Drosophila melanogaster: one gene and its partners. The protein of the gene in region 1 purifies or fractionates together with the protein of each later gene. This does not show direct contact. Each region holds a gene or a part of one and is shown in the gene's direction. Other genes may lie near its edges. The genes, in order: mtDNA-helicase, Nubpl and Prx4.

The links.
Region 2: the proteins of mtDNA-helicase (region 1) and Nubpl purify together in Drosophila melanogaster (affinity purification with mass spectrometry, with the first as the bait; one large-scale study listed by BioGRID). This does not show direct contact.
Region 3: the proteins of mtDNA-helicase (region 1) and Prx4 purify together in Drosophila melanogaster (affinity purification with mass spectrometry, with the first as the bait; one large-scale study listed by BioGRID). This does not show direct contact.

The regions. Positions count from the first base shown.
Region 1 is NT_033779.5:9,890,523-9,895,348, reverse strand, and holds mtDNA-helicase (mitochondrial DNA helicase), read left to right. Parts: upstream 1-1,902; 5' UTR 1,903-1,929; coding exon 1,930-2,221; intron 2,222-2,279; coding exon 2,280-2,717; intron 2,718-2,886; coding exon 2,887-3,998; 3' UTR 3,999-4,086; downstream 4,087-4,826. Other genes in the region: CG4537 (uncharacterized protein), read right to left, coding at 4,087-4,216, 4,276-4,439; CG34183 (uncharacterized protein), read left to right, coding at 4,609-4,637, 4,696-4,807.
Region 2 is NT_033779.5:22,237,898-22,246,081, forward strand, and holds the start of Nubpl (NUBP iron-sulfur cluster assembly factor, mitochondrial), read left to right. Parts: upstream 1-2,018; 5' UTR 2,019-2,034; coding exon 2,035-2,206; intron 2,207-2,256; coding exon 2,257-2,966; 3' UTR 2,967-8,184. UniProt on the Drosophila melanogaster protein: Iron-sulfur cluster transfer protein involved in the assembly of the mitochondrial membrane respiratory chain NADH dehydrogenase (Complex I). May deliver one or more Fe-S clusters to complex I subunits.
Region 3 is NT_037436.4:3,040,457-3,044,844, forward strand, and holds Prx4 (peroxiredoxin 4), read left to right. Parts: upstream 1-1,902; 5' UTR 1,903-1,994; intron 1,995-2,093; exon of another isoform or gene 2,094-2,316; intron 2,317-2,588; 5' UTR 2,589-2,595; coding exon 2,596-2,749; intron 2,750-2,815; coding exon 2,816-2,933; intron 2,934-2,984; coding exon 2,985-3,390; intron 3,391-3,448; coding exon 3,449-3,499; 3' UTR 3,500-3,718; downstream 3,719-4,388.

The DNA.
Region 1 (4,826 bases):
CAATATAACTTAAAAAGTGGCACACGTGTGGTAAGTATTTTGGTAAAATCAGCTGTTTGGGCTAGATCACCGAAGACAGCGATAGGCAATCGATACATCGAATTAACATATAAATATGAAAGTTTTTCATATATTAAGTATTTTATGAATGATTTAATGAAAATTAAATGGAATATCATTTATTCGGTTAAGTTAATTATTGCACATTCTTATACAATATATATCAGGCAAAAACCAAACAATTTTTCCGATACGATACTACCATGGTTGCATTCAGAGACATCGATAGTTGGCCGCCATCTTTTCACAGAATTTTTCCTTCCACGTGCGATGACGAAACTCGTTCATTTTATTTCAAGACTCGAAATGGTAAGTTGTGTGCTCTTCGTAAATAGTTTTATATCAAGTGAATTAAAGTGCTTAAATGGAAGAGTGTTATGCCTCAAATGATGAAACAGATGACGAGACTGAAGGAACAAATTCTCGACTTGGCGCTGTATTTTTCAGTGCCTCGTTATATATTTGTTCATTTAAGATGATTCGGCGATCTGATGGCATATAACTTCAAGAACTTTCTTTGGGTTTGGCAAGAATATGTTCTAAAAGTTCTGTATTTCTTGCAGTGAACAATATTGAAACCCTAAGCATTTGGATAAATCGAAATCCGGGCACTCCACGTGCATGGTGCATGTGAGACACCTCGGGACAACATGTGAGCCCGTTGAGACACCTTGGGCACTGAGCCCACTGGAGACGCCATTGTCACATTGGAGGTAAGATATTAATACTTTTGGTTGGTCTATGCTTCTCTGATGATCTTTTACACAGACCTGTACTGAGCTCATAACCGTGCAGAAAATTGTAAACTGAAACCTAATCAAATATATAAAATATTTGGAAGTACTCCTTGTACACACTGTATTGATGCCATTTTCTTTTATTTCCAGAATTTACATTCTGGTTTGAGGTTATGTATGGGTCCAGCTGCAGCAGCGAGCACATGGATTTACCGATAAAGGTAATTTATTTACACTAACATTTTTATGTTTGAATGCAATATACGTTTTACTGATGATTAACTTCAACACCTTTTGCGGTTTCCACCAGAAAGCTTCGGCTTAATGATGGTCTAAGGCGTCTGACTAAAAAGTTTCAATAAAAACTTTATTATACTTAAACTAGCATTTTACTTACCTATTTTATCTCTTGTTTCCAGATCAACTCAGAAATGTGGTTTATCGCAGGCAAATATAACTAAATGAGCTCGTTTATTCGACTGTATAAGGTAATATTTTCGAGAATTTTTTTTTTTAAATTAATAAATAAACTGATGATTACCTTAAACACCTTTTGCGGTTTCCACCAGAAAGCTTCGGCTTAAGGATGGTCTAAGGCGTCTGACTAATACAAATATATATATTTCGGCTGTCTTGAGATGATGTATTTAATATATTTTATATTTTACTTTAATTGCAGAGTGACGTTGCCTTGTGTAAAAGATCTTGATATAAAAAGAATTGGACATCTTCAAATACTAAAATAAATAAACTAATAAAATCAAATAATCACGAATTGTATATATTTTTTATTGTTATTGGGATGGTGGAAAAGAGCCGCAATTTGTTTAATCAGTTGTACAAATAAAGTATTGACCTTAGAACAAAGTTATAGATAGATAATGCTTTATAATTTGAATTTACCGTGCTTAACTAAACTGGTATTTATCGAACAATTTAGCACAATTGTAAGCGCACTTTACGAAAGTAATTTAATGAGATTTCCTAGTATTAAATAGAGCGCTTCCCAGAGCACTGAGAGAGTACAAAGATATTTGAATGATTAATAGTAGGTAAACAAATCTTCAAAATTGCGCGCCCAATTGTCATCCCTATTTTCCACCCCTCACTTTCGATATCGATAACATGGAAAATGAGACGCGCCGGTTTAATCAAACCGCTGTTGCGTATAAATAACGAAAAACAACGTGTTTGGAGAAAAAACTACGCTACCCAAGTGGTTTCCGGCTTGGAGGAGTGCTCACTAGACCCCAAGGAGTATGTGGACTTCAAGCGGCAGCTGCGGCAGCTCAACTTGCCCCACAAAGACGGACACACGTGCTTGCAGCTGGAGTGTCGCCTCTGCGATCGCAATAGGCAGCCGGTGACAAACGCCCAAAAGGGCACCGATCATGGGCTGCTGGCTTACGTAAACAAGCGGACGGGTGAGAGCACCAATTACATTTCGCAAAAAAAACCGTAGTATATTCAATTTTCCTTTAGGAGCCTTTATCTGCCCCAATTGCGACGTAAAAACCTCACTGACCAGCGCTTTATTATCCTATCAGTTGCCCAAGCCGGTTGGCTATAAGCAACCGCTGCAGAGGCAGCCGGTCTATGAATCCCGATTTCCCCACCTGGCCGTGGTTACTCCCGAGGCCTGTGCAGCTTTGGGAATCAAGGGCTTGAAGGAGGACCAACTAAATGCCATAGGAGCACAGTGGGAGCCGCAGCAACAGCTGCTCCACTTTAAGTTACGCAATGCCGCGCAAGTGGAGGTTGGCGAAAAGGTGTTATATCTGGGCGATCGACGGGAGGAGATCTTCCAGAGCAGCTCCAGCTCCGGGCTGCTGATTCACGGTGCGATGAACAAAACCAAAGCGGTTCTAGTCAGCAATCTAATTGACTTTATTGTCCTTGCCACACAGAACATTGAAACGCGTAAGTGAAAACATAGCTTTTAGGAATATTTTTCATTGGTTGCAGAATAGTGAAGAAATCCTAGGGTGATATATTTAAGATATCAATTAAAAATAATTTGGAAACCAGTTTGGCTCAGCTAGTACACATTTAAGATATAATTTAATTTAAAAATTAAATTGTCTCCTAGATTGCGTTGTATGCCTGCCCTACGAACTGAAGACTCTACCACAAGAGTGTCTGCCCGCCTTGGAACGCTTCAAAGAGCTCATCTTTTGGTTGCACTACGATGCCAGTCACAGCTGGGATGCAGCTAGAGCTTTTGCGTTAAAGTTGGACGAAAGGCGATGCCTGTTAATCCGACCTACTGAGACGGAACCTGCGCCACATTTGGCTCTGCGCCGACGACTCAATCTGCGCCACATCCTGGCCAAAGCGACACCGGTGCAGCACAAGGCCATCACAACATTCGGAGCAATGCGAAATGACATTCTCAGCGAGTTGCAAAACATCGAGAAAGTCAATGGAGTAAAGTGGAAGCGCTTTCCAGTACTGAATAAGCTGCTCAAAGGCCATCGGAGGGGAGAGTTGACAATCCTCACAGGACCCACGGGTAGTGGAAAGACAACCTTTATGAGCGAGTACTCTCTGGATCTGGCCATGCAGGGCGTAAACACGCTGTGGGGCTCTTTTGAGATCCGAAACACCCGGCTGGCGGCCACCTTGCTTCGCCAGTATGTGGGCTACCCGTTGGACGACCGGTTGCATGAGTTTAACCACTGGGCAGCGGAGTTTGAGCGTTTGCCGCTATACTTTATGACCTTCCACGGACAGCAGCCCCTTAAGCCGGTTCTGGAAGCCATCGAGCATGCGTCGTATGTGCACGATGTGATGCACGTGATCATTGACAATCTGCAATTTATGATGGGCGTGTCCACATTTCGAGGCGACAAGTTCTTTGAACAGGACTCTATTATAGCTGCCTTTCGCTCCTTTGCCACCAAGCACAATGTACACGTGACACTCGTAATGCATCCGCGCAAGGAGCGGCAGGAGGACGAGCTGACCACCAGCTCGGTTTTCGGCACAGCAAAGGCCACCCAAGAAGCGGACAACGTGTTGATCATTCAAGACAAGAGGCTGACTTCTGTGCGGGGCAAGAAGTATCTCCAAATTGCCAAGAATCGTTATTCCGGCGACCTGGGCATCATGCCACTGGAATTCGACAAAGACGGCTTGAGCTACTCAACCCAGATCCAAAATGCCAAGCGAAAACGGGAAAAGACGCCATCCGAGAACTGATTAGTAAGGCATTTGTTGTACTATAGGTTATAATTATTCTGTTGTCTATGGTTAGTTTAGTCTTAAGTGCATCCTTTGATAAACTGCATCACGTTGAGCTCTGCTTGTAGTTCTTGGTGTTCATGATCTTCTTGCCGCACATGGCGCATATGGCCTTTTTGTAGGCGCACGCCTGGCAATAGTGCGAACCCATCTGGTGCACTTTCTGTCGGCAGATTCTGGATAATTAAAAATCAGATTAAGATATGCAGATGAATTCTTGAGGAGATTTCCCTACCGGCAAGGTGGTAAAGCAGTCCCTATGGGATTGTATCGCTCGCGGGCCGAGGATAAAGCCTTGTTCTCGTTGATTTTACGTCCTCCCGCAGGAGCTGTGCTCGTTCGCCAGGGATTGGGCGCTGAAACTTTGGAGAGCTTGGCCTCGCACTTCTCGCAAACCATTTTTGTTATCAATTCAATTTGTTTTTTATTTACGTTTTGCAAAAACAGAGTGACCATTCCATTGATATTAATATCGATTGTTTGCTACCGATTGACCGCATATTTCCCAACTAAGTGTCTATCGAAGGTTGTTATCGACCATCTCAATTGCAAATTTTGGAAGCGTAAAATGACTACAGAAAAAGGGGAGCAGTTGAGGTAAATTAAAATAAATACATATTCAATATCACTGAGTGAAGTACTCACTGTTTTCCAGACAACAACTGATAGCGGCGGTGGTAAAGAAACGAGCGGCGATTGCGAGAGCCCATGAAATCGTGGTGCGGCTTTTGGAGCCCGGAATACCGGAGCCCGAGTTCCTGTCCCTGGTAAAATAATGCAAATTAA
Region 2 (8,184 bases), about 12 Mb from region 1:
AAATAATAATAAGCAAGAACTATTGTCATTAAACAATATAAAGTGTACTATAAACAATTGTCATTAAACAATAAAGTAACACTATAAAGTAAAATTACTACATGTATGTTTCACTACCTATCCTTTTTTTTTAATACAAAGGCCGTTTCTGCCTGCTTCGTTTTTTTTTTCGGAATTGAAGCAGCATGTACGAGAAGTACTAATTTGCTAATTTTTTTAGGTTGAGGCTCTGCATATTCAAATGTTAACTGTTTTCGACCAGCTTTGCATAGTGTAATTTCTGGCTATGAATAACGACAACAATTTTAGACGGAAGCCACAATTAATGATTTCGTTTGAATTTCCTTAAGTGCTTGTTCACATAAGAACTAAATTGGTTCACTTTCCTTAAAATTGTAATATTTTGCTCTTTAGGCACAAAGTTCTCTTCTAAATATAACTGTTAACAGCGTCTGCATCGTTGTTGCTCCAAACACTCAGCTGCACTTCATGACTAAACTCATACACACCTACAACATAAAATGTTTCGTAAAAAAGGGCAAATTAGGAATCCAAAAATGAAAGCAGCATTAAAATATCAGTCACAAAAAAAATTACATTTATACCAAAATTTGCGGCTTTTAACCCATAGTTGCCGCAATGGCAACAATTTATTCAAGACCCTTAGTTCCTCTTTTAAAACATCCTGACGACCTTGAAGTACTAACGCCAGTGCACTTCTTAGGCACTGCCCCCCTCGCCTTGTTTGCTGAGCCTGATTTCACAAAATTAAATCTCAACCGATTGGATCGCTGGCAGCGAATCACTTACTACCAGTTAATATCTAACGCTTCTTCAGCAACGTTCCAAATGGCGAGCACAGAAGACAGACGTTCAAATCGATAATGTCCTTTTAGTAAAAGACGAAAACCTGCCACCCCTCAAATGGCCACTAGCTCGAGTAATAAATCTGATCCCTGGACTCAATGGCGTCGCACGAGTTGCTGTTCAATAGAGCCGTCGCTAAACTTTGCGTTCTACCCAAACAGGATGATGTTGTCAGCTAGAGTCCACCAACGGGGGGAGGATGTTTGGTTATGCAGCCAAACTCTTATACACTGATGACGCAATTTTGACTTACCCATTTATGGATTGTTTTTCTTTTTTATTGAAATAAAAATCTATAAACAACAAACTGCATTCTATATAAACTTTTTATTTATAGAATTGTTAAACTTTTAAGGGAAAAAAATTTCCAAAGCTCTCGCTCAAGCCGTTTTCCAAATATCTCACGTCAAATATTTTTGCTCAGGGGGCGCTAACCTGGTTTTAATTTTTATTCTGTGAAACTTGCTCATTTGGCTTCTGCATTCAGTTAACAATTAAGTGTTGATCGCACCGGTATTGCTATGATACACTTTAACTCAATCGGTTCGGTACGGGCCGCCGTTCGATATACCCTAAATAGACCCTAAAAAAAACTGAAATATTACTTGAAAAATTAACTTTAGCGTGTTTATAAATTGCCACACCACTTCTCCACCACTTGCCTCAACATGTTCTTCATCCAAGCTTGGCGAGGTTCGCCGAAAAATGTGACAGTTTAAATGTCAGCGGCAGGCAGAGACTTTTCACAGAGTAAACCGTTTTACGAGTATTCTTGTACTGCTGTTACTACTGTTGTTCCACTGTTGAGTTTTGACTGGTTTATTTGAATTACGTGGTAAACGTGGTCTAACGTGGTATTCCTATCGTAAACAAACTGCTCGCTATAGACATTCATTAGATGGGTTATAATAGTATTAATAAATATATACCGTCCAGTAAAAATACTCGCTTTCCCAGTTTTTTAATCTGCTCAATCGGTCGCTTCAGTCGCCAAAGAAAAATGCTAAATACCTAGGAATATTAATTGAGCTATCGAGAATTATCGAAAAATGACTTCGCAAAATAGGAATGATGGAAATGTGTGAGAATCGGCTATAAAGCTGTCGTCGCTGTTTTCACTATGAGTTTTATTTTTAGGATGGAAAATAAATTTATCGTTTTGTAACAATGGAGCGTCTATTGATCAACACGATATGGCGCTCCTACGCAACAAAATTAACTGGGTCCCAGGTGAAGTTAATGGCGCGGGGATTGCCTAAAAAGCAACCGATTATTGGAGTACAAGATATTATAGTCGTTGCCTCTGGAAAGGGTGGTGTTGGAAAAAGCACCGTGGCAGGTGTGTACTCACATATTTCGATTCATGGGTTATTGGAGTCCTTTTCACAGTTAATTTTGCCTGCAGCTTGGCAAAACTAGGAAAGCGAGTAGGATTGCTGGACGGGGATATCTTCGGGCCTACTATTCCACTTCTCATGAATGTCCATGGTGAGCCGGTTGTGAACGATAAGAATTTGATGATCCCGCCGCAAAACTACAATGTAAAGTGCTTGTCTATGGGCATGCTGACACCTGTAGAGACCTCTGTTATCTGGCGAGGTCCTCTTGTAATGTCAGCAATACAACGACTGCTAAAAGGTACTGATTGGGGGCTTCTAGATGTCCTAGTTATAGATACTCCACCGGGCACTGGAGATGTACATCTCTCACTATCCCAGCATGCACCTATCACAGGGGTTATCCTGGTAACAACACCTCATACTGCAGCTGTTCAGGTGACCTTGAAAGGTGCAAGCATGTACGAAAAGTTAAATGTTCCTATCTTTGGCGTAGTAGAGAACATGAAGTACACCATTTGTCAGAACTGTAATCAACGATTGGAGTTTTTTAAAGACAGCCGTATAAGTTCTCTACCGCGCAAGCTAATTTCTCTTCCGTTAGACTCACGAATAGCGGATAGCAACGAGAGTGGAGTGCCTGTTGTAATAAAATATCCGGACAGCAAGTACTCTTATCTATTTACCCAATTGGCTGAGGAGATTACACAAATACTTAACGAACAAAGATGTAATCAAAATCAAAATAACAGTGCACATTAAAAAAAATTTGTGTATATCAAAAATTCTTATTACTTACATTTGTTATGCTGTACCGCTAAAACCAATAAAGTTATCAGGGGAAAGGGACTGTTGTTTCGTTTCCCGCATTTACATTAAACAACACACCACAAAACCATGTCATGCTTCACAGCTAAGACTAAGAGAAGGTTTCAAACTAGTTCTGCTTTTTGTGGATTGATTTTTGCTGGTAGTTTCAAAAATGTAACGCCAACTAGCTGAAATCCTCTTCTGGCTTCTTTAATCTAGATTGCTCATCTTGTCTGTGACAGATACAATCTTCATGTTTAAATATGCCCTCCTATAGCAAAACGTGTCCCGGATATTAACCATCTCCACGCTTTCAAACAGGCTCTGAATTCGTGCGCTTGTGAGAATTACTATAGTATTCGCACCTCTAAATTTGGATATACACAGCCATTTCTAATGCTTTTTATCCATCCATTTATCAATGGTAAATTGTCAGTTTTGGCATCATCAACTTAAGGATGACAACCTATACTGAATTGTGATTCCGGGTTTCATTTTTATATTCATTAAATTATTATTTATTATTATTATCATTAAATATATTGCCCGAGAAAAGCGGATTGCCAAAACGAACCGATCTCTGCTCTGAAGAAGACAACGAAGCGACAATCAACTACAGACAAGGCAATACTTGTTTTTCGTAAACCTAAAACAAGGATCGAATGTCGACAAAGTACTGAAAATAACTCAACTAGGCAGACATCGAGTCACTATGGAGCGTGCGCGCCGCAGAAAAGAGTTTTACAGTCTGAAATGTCACATTTTTAGGCACTCAACGAATTATTGTCTTCAGAATCCCATCCGTGGTAAATGTGCTGGATCCCACGTTACACGAGGTCATGCTTTTAGTTTTCTTAATATTTCTATTCTCACTTTGCTCGTTTAAATGGGGCTCAACTTGAATCAAATATTGCTAAGCAATATCTGAAAGGATCAGAATCAATGCAAGACCTTAGCTTTGGGAATAAATTCCTCTAGAGAGATTCTAGAGACGAAGACGCAGAGCTAGTTTGTTGATCCATGTTGCCACGCCCACAAACCGCGCAAAACTGCCACGCCCAAATTTTTGAACCATTTTTCGACCTTTTTCTTAATTTTATTGGAACAATTTTTAAATTTGTTCTCATTTTATTCCCCAATATCAATCGCGATCCAAGAGAGCGTTCGCTCACACTTGCTGAGTAACGGGTATCTGATAGTCGGGGAACTCGACTATAGTATTCTCTCTTTTTTTATTATAATTTCATTTACTAATGTACGAAATATTTAATTGATGTCCTTCAATTTTGGGCTGCACTACACTCTAAACCAAATGCGGCGTCTCGCTCTCACTTACACTTACACATATAAAAAAACACTAACTCAAATTAATTCATTATTTCGGACCGGACCGAGATCGCTGCCTAGTTACGGAATCTCTTCGCGGTCGAAAATTTGGCCTAAAGATTTTTATCATGCATGCCAGTTTTCCGTAATTTCATTTAAATTTATGATTTTCACTTTCCCGGGCCTCAAGGCCCTGTCCTGGGGTCCCACAAAAACAGCCGCCGTCCTTCTATTTTCTATTGGTGATCCAAACGGCTTCGACTTTGTTCTCTTGCAAGACCCAGTTGATCTAGGGGTTAATATTCCGGCACTGCGTCCAAATTATATTTAAATTATGTTTTAGAGGTATCTAACCTGAATTTGCCCCGCACTCGCTTACCCTTTATTCCGAATCCAGCACCTCGATAATAATTTGAATTTTTTTAAGGAGACCCTATAGAGTCTCCGGTACAAAAGGAAAAATGGCGATCTTGATCAAGAGCCCCGAGAGAGGACATCGTCGTTACAATCCAGTACAAAGACCGGACGGAAGAGATACTGGGCAGGCAAAAGGATATAAGATATAAAAAAGCCAATGTGATCAACACAGTGGAAGTGATCGACCACACACGTACTCAGTATGGAGTTTGTATAAAGTTAAAGGGAAAGTTTTTTTTTGGAAAAGATCCTCTGAGTTCATGAAGGGGTTCGGGACGAACATCCAGCCAGGAGGGCCGAAACAAGCCAGAAGACAAGTAGGCCAAAGGTCGCGAAGTGATCGTCAGTCACAAGAGAGCGTATGAGATCAATCATATTGATGAGCAGTCGGACCCGAGATCTCAAGCGGAACACATTAAATCCCACACTTTTATAGACTCATCAAAGTGTAAGCGTTGTCATTGATTCGAAACTTTTTTTTAAATAAATTGGCGATTCCGTTATAGGATGGCTTGCATGGGATGGCTTAGTTTATTCGAAAGAAACACACGTATTGCTCGAATCATTATATACGTTGCCCCGCATGGGGCATTGAACTTATCAATACGGTTAGCATAAGTAATAAGTATCGTATTGGACTTGTCGTTAAGGTTTAACAATAACATTAACATTAATAAGTATTTATCTTCTTACAGTCGGCCCTTCCTGATTTAAATTAACGTCCTCGCTGGACGTCGTCGTCCGGAAGGCGACACCACGGTTTGAGCTTATCGGATGAGTAGACGGACTTATAATGGCGTAGAGTCCTTCGATGACATATCGATCGTTCGTTTTTACCGTTCCAGTTGCGGCAGGCTCATTCTCCACTAAGATGAGATAATCTTTTTTATACATAGTCGGAGGATTATGTTTGGCATCGTAGTATAGTCTCGCTTTGACAATATTCCGTATCTTCTCATCTTAAAATTGAATGCTAAATAGCCAGTCTCCTTCGTCGATTATGGTCTTGGATATTTTTAAGTCGGCGTTGTTCAATTCGTGCGCTGGTTCATATGGAGATCGACTAAGCACGTCCACATGTTCCTGTGGAACATGTCCTGGATGAGTAGCCACCACCGGGCTGTTCTTGGGATGAGTTCGCGTTTTCTCAATGTTGTACGTAATGCGCTGCAATCATTAATGACTTTAATACGCTTGCTATACACATAATATGTAAACCTTTCCAGCGCCTCTACAACGGCGAGAGCTTCTAGTTCGTAGCTGTGCATTTTCCTTACGACCTTCGTTGTTGACCGGCTGAAGTATGCGATTGGTAACAGCTTGTCGTTATCTCGCTGCAGGTCGATCGAACTAGCGTCTGTATGAAGTTCGTGCTCCGCGTCTACGCGGTAGATTACAAGAATCGGTTTACAACTGAGCTTCTGTTTTAATTCGTTTAATGAGTCTTCCTGCTGCTGCTGCCATTAGAAGTTGACATTTTTTCGGAACAAATTCTGGTTTCGGAAATTCGACTACATCATTTGTCTTTACTTCTCCTGGGCTAAGACAGGAGAGTTTCATTATAAAATTCGCATTTGTCGATGTTTAACGTTAAACCACATTCGCTTAATGCGCTTAAAACCACTGAAACTTTGCCAGTCATCTCATCGAAAGAGTTGCTCCAAGCGAGGATGTCGTCCATATAGTGCAACATGTTGTCTTTGCGGTGAATCTTCTGAATGCGGTCGATTTGCGATCCGCTAACAGCTAAGCTTAAAGACTGATGAATGACGAACGATACTAACACAAATATTTTTCAGAAACTTTTAATATTCGTTAATCGTAATGTTGGAGAGGTAAGAGCCGTACCAAGATGCTGAACATAGGATGGATAGGCCCAAGTCCTTTTTGAATGCGAGGGCACTAATACGCAGACGTAACAACTATATGCATTTGTTTTTATTTTTCTGTTTGTGTGCGTGTACTAAACATGCCTTCTTCTACTCTTACTGACCATATCGTTTGTATTTTCTGATCGCATTTTTTCTCATCTCATTTCTCTCATTATCTTACATAGACATCAAACAGTCTTGAATTACTTAAATATCCAAAGTAGGCATATTTAAAACAGTTAACTTTGGTACTTTTCGAATTTGTTGAACCTCCTTCCGAGCTTAGAATTCTCACCTTTATTACCTATGAGCTCTTTGTTGGGATCTTCATTCAGAACGTCGTTCACTACATTGAGCCTTTCACATGTCGGTCAACGCAAAACTTACATGTCACAACTTATCCCCGAAATCTCTCTAAAGCATAACTGCTTTTAATCCAAACTTACATACATCTGTATAAATCTCTGTCTCAAGTGATCGTAAAGCTTTAGAACTTTTCCTTTGATTAACGCTATTTTTAACATTTCAAATGCTCCTTAGTGCTTTTATGAAAACTCATATTTTTTTGGTACTGTCATATTTATGTCTCTAGCATATGAAATACATTCGTCGCTGTACAGTTATTCAGCTCAGCTGACCCGCAAATCCCGCAACCTAAAAAACTGTCTTTCTCCCTTTAAATCCAGTCGTATCTTATTGAACTCCAAGAGCTTCCAACGCAACAATTCCACTCCATCTCTCTTTTCTTTTTTTTTTGCCGACACCGCGGTATCGATGACAATATTTAGATTCCTCTCAGCCAACCGACGCTCGATAAGTAATGCAGGGAACGTACTCAAAAAAGTCGCCGTCGTCCTCGATCGCGCTAAAGCGAGTGAGTTATTCAAGCTGGTATTACTGCCAGTAACATGACATCGATGTGATTTTTCATATGGGCATTGGGTTTTTTAATAACAATAATTTTGTATACCAATTCTTTGAAATCATTGAAAAAATTTTTTTTGAATTATATTATTATATATTTTTAATATTTATATTATTATATATCAATGTAGTTGTATTGTGAGGCATTGGAAACAGTACGTTTGTAGTACTACTCAGATATTGGCAAATGTTACCTTAACCGAACACACATTTGAAATTTTATTCCATGTAGTTTTAGGTGATTAAGTTAAGATATCTTAATTGGACGAAAAATATTGAGCCAAGATATGGGAGTTACAATAACATTTAACGCTCTAAATATATTTAGTGAAAAGTCCTTTTCACCTGTTTGATTTCTGAATGTAAATTTGATTTCGCTAGTGTCGATACTGATTTACGTGGACCAGACCAAGATAAATTAATATCATTATTACTAGACTACTCAAGTTTATTCTTAAGTGGTATTCCACAAAGAAGAAAGAAACTCGACAACAGCGTTCACTCTTTCACTCATATACCCCCCGAGTAAACTCAGAGGTACCAATTCGGTTGCACACTTGTCGGGTAACACACCCCCTTTGGTGAAGGAGATCCTTCTAGCTTAAGCAACCACAGCCACCATGAAACTCCCA
Region 3 (4,388 bases), on another chromosome or scaffold:
CTTAATTAAACGCAATTTTTTTATAAAATATAATTAAACAATATTTATTTTACTTATAAATCAAAAAACAAATTAAAAATATTAAATATACAAGAAAATAAACAACAAATTCCAAGTTTACACACTTTTGAGACTGTCAAGAAACTCTTTACACAAAACACTAAATCGAAGTTTAATCCTAAATTTTTTAATTATTTTATTAAAATTTTAAAAGTTTTGGTATGTAGTATGTTCCCCATTGGCTTTAGCTACAAGTTGAAGCCTTTTTTTCATGGATTGGACAAGTTTTTGCAGGTCATATTCAAACGGGATCTTTTCACACTCTTCGACTATTACAGTCATAAGCTGTTGTTGTGTTTTAGGTCCCTTTTTGCCACCTTCTTCTTTAAGTAGGTCCACAAATTTTCAATGGGGTTCAGATCAGGACTCTGAGGGGGCGTATCGATCACTTTACCACAGTTATTAAGGCGCCAGGTGCGTACATTGCACTCTTTATGTTTCTGATCATGTCCTGGTAAAACTTAAGATTTGGCTTGTTGTTGCTAACTAGACCGAATTTTTCTGCACTGGCCTTCAAATTTGTTTTTTAACATTTCTAGATATTGCACGGCAGTTATTGTGCTCTCAATTAAGGCTAGTTTTCCCACTCCACGGCTGGTGATACAGCCCCAAACCATCAGTGACATTTTTCCAAATTTTATCGTTGGAATGATATTTTGTTTTTCTAGCGCACTCAACGGTTTGCGCCATACTCTGCTTGGCCCGTCGTTATAAAAGAGCATCATTTTTGTTTCGTCACAAAATATGACGTCATCCCAGTACTCTTCCGCATGATCCATCATGCTCACAGCGAATTAATGACGCTTTTCCATATTGGCATCTGATAGCAAAGGGTTTTTCCTTGCAAATCTTGAAGAGTACCTATGGCGTAGGATGACTTGGCGCACAGTTTCGTGTGACACAGTTAGGTGGCATTCTTGCCTGATATCCAGAGCAAGTGATCTGACCGAGATTCGGGGGTTCGCAATCACTATTCGCATAATAAAGCGGTCTACACGCTTTTTAATTTTAATTTTCCGCCCACCACCGCTCTTAGGTTCAAGCCTGCCCTCTTTTTCCGAGCCTTTTAAAACATTGTAGACGGTCTTACGGGATACAGGAAACATTTATACTAATTCTGGAAAAGATTTTCCCAACTGGTGGTTATAGTTTATTAATTGGGTAACTTCAAAAGTTAATCTCTTTCCAGGCATTTTATTAAATTTAATAATTCGCTTTAAGCACGTTTGATCAGCAAAATTTCACAAGCAAAGTCAACAAAATTTCAATAGAAGCGTTGTAAAAAGCAATGCAAAGCCAAAAATAACGGAAAAATCGAGTTCGTTCTAAGAAAAAGAACAAAACAAAGTAGGAAAACAAAATGTGTAAAGAGTTTCTTGACAGTCTCAAAAGTGTGTAAACTTGGAATTTGTTGTTTATTTTCTTGTATATTTAATATTTTTAATTTGTTTTTTGATTTATAAGTAAAATAAATATTGTTTAATTATATTTTATAAAAAAATTGCGTTTAATTAAGCAAAAAACCCTTTATTTTTAGCTTTAAAGTCAAAAATTCAACTTATTTCACAGTGTGTAAACAGTTTCTTGACAAACTGTATATATTTTAATAAAGTTTATAGCGTAAGTAAAAGTTAACTGAGAAAGTGTTTTTTACTTAAAAAAAATTGGATAGATCATAGCATGGCCATACATCGCTTTTGATTCGCCAATGCAGCACAGATATTTTTTCTAAAATAATATTCTTTCAAAATTGCAGTTACGCGTTAATATGAAATGAAAATTCAAATATTTCATAATGAAATTTATGTTGGCAATGCTGAACTATGCATTGGTGTCGGAACGACAGTATGGTATTTTTGCGTATTACGGTCACACCAATGCCGGCAGAACAATTTGTTATTAAAACAAAAAGAGTTAATTATAGCGCTTAAAAGGTAACAGCTGTGCGTTTGCATTGTTGCTTAATGCAAGCAAGTTAACTACCCTGCAACTAAAAATAAATATTCAAATCGGAGCTAGGCAATCGCATTGGCATTGGAATTTTAGTAGTTTTGTAAACTATATTTGTTTAAATCGGTTACACGCTGACAACTATAAATTATAATAGCAGTGAAGTGAATGAAATTGATAAGCTTATCTTTTCGGAAGCGCAGCAACAATAAGCGCGTTCCACCAAAATCAATTGAAGTTCTGCCCGTTGAAATAGTTACTTTTTTGACTGCGTGGCTACAAGTTGTGGGCGTGTTCGAATTTTGGGTATGTGCGTACAGTAGAGACTGGCTGACACGGACGGAACAAGGATTTAGTACATAGAAGGAGTATCTTTTCTTTGAAGTTTAGTTTTGTTCCTAATTAACATTCAAAATTATATATCTTTACATAATTTACAAAATTAAAGATAGTTGGGCGACCACTGTACACAGATTTATTATAAATATAAAGAGCGGCAATAATTGTAAAGGCCGCGTGTAATAAATAGCGTATAAACCGAATCCAATAGCCATATACGTACGTGGATCTCGTTTCAGCCCAATCATGTCCAAGTACTTATCTGTCCTACTGCTGTCCGCGGCACTCGTTGGAGCTGCCAAGCCGGAAGATAATGAATCGTGCTATTCCTTCGCCGGCGGCTCCGTTTATCCCGACCAGCCGAAGGGCGACCATCAGCTGCAGTACACCAAGGCAGTCAGTGAGTTCCATTGGATGCAAAAAACCAGGGATCACTATTAAGTTGCTGCTACCCTTATTTCCCCAGTTTCCAAGCCAGCTCCGCAGTTCGAGGGCACCGCCGTGGTTAATAAGGAGATTGTGAAGCTATCATTGTCCCAGTATCTAGGGAAATATGTGGTGCTACTCTTCTACCCACTGGACTTGTAAGTTTACATTTACATTTAGTATGATCGCATTTCTCATTGCCATTTTAGCACCTTTGTATGCCCAACGGAGATCATTGCCTTCTCCGACCGCATCGCCGAGTTCAAGAAGATCAAGACCGAGGTGATTGGCGTCAGCGTGGACTCGCACTTCACCCACTTGGCCTGGATAAACACGCCGCGCAAGGAGGGCGGCCTGGGCGACGTGAAGATCCCACTGCTCTCCGATCTAACGCATAAGATCAGCAAGGACTACGGAGTCTACTTGGAGTCCAGCGGTCATGCGCTGCGCGGTCTCTTCATTATCGATCAGACCGGAGTGCTGCGACAGATCACCATGAATGATTTGCCCGTGGGACGCTCTGTGGACGAGACTATTCGTCTGGTTCAGGCCTTCCAGTATACGGACACCCATGGAGAGGTTTGCCCAGCAGGTTGGCGGCCAGGTGCCGATACGGTAGGTTTTTTGAAGCATTGCCTTAGGTAAATTCTTTTTGATACCATTACCTTTACAGATCGTTCCCAATCCTGAGGAGAAGACGAAGTACTTTGCCAAGAACAACTAGGGACAGATAGAGATGCACATTACCTTAGTAGCCTAGCCCAGTTACATTCCTAATGTTCACGACTGAATCACGATGCAAACGAACAATCGCTAGAGTCCTCTGTACAGAAAATCCAAATCCGCAATGCCACCGATTGTGAATATTTCGCATTTGCTTTGTACAAAACATAGTTTGTTTATTTTACAGCATAACTGAGATATAAATAAATTCATGAAGTACATGTGAAGGTGATGAAAATTGCGCGGCGCCACAGGAGCGGTACCAAAAAGGAGGAGATGTTTTCGATCTCAAAATGCCTTGAAAGCTGGCTCACTAGGCCACTCTAATGGGTAACAATTCGATTGCAATTAGTTTCATACAAAAATATATGTAATATGTAATATGTAGTAGGTAAAAGGTAATAGTAAATTAGTTAGGTACGCCATGGTTGCAATTAAGTTATCCTGTGCTCCGACCTATGCGTACAACAAAGCTAGGTCTGTCGAGGTATATAAATCTGGGGAAACGGGACGGGGGCGACGACAATAACTAGGACGTCATAAGGCACTCGTTCTCGTCGGATTCTTCGTGTGTAGTCTGCTTTCTGTTTTCCGTTTTGTGCGTTTGTCAGTAAGTGCTTCATTGTGGTGAGCTTTAAATGCCAAAACCGAGGTTCATAAAATAACGAAGGTGCAACTGCGGTTCAGATCCAAGTTGTGCGGGAGATTCCTTTGCTGCGGAGATTCCGTATCGATCAAAGCGTTGCACTGTTCAGATTCCCGGAAACGTTAATCAAATAAGGGGTTAAAAAGTTCTTAGAGCTATGACCATGCAACACGTCGAACCAAAAAGCAGTCGGCGATTATAATGTTTGGGCGTTTGTTCCTTTAGAATGCGATTCATCATACAG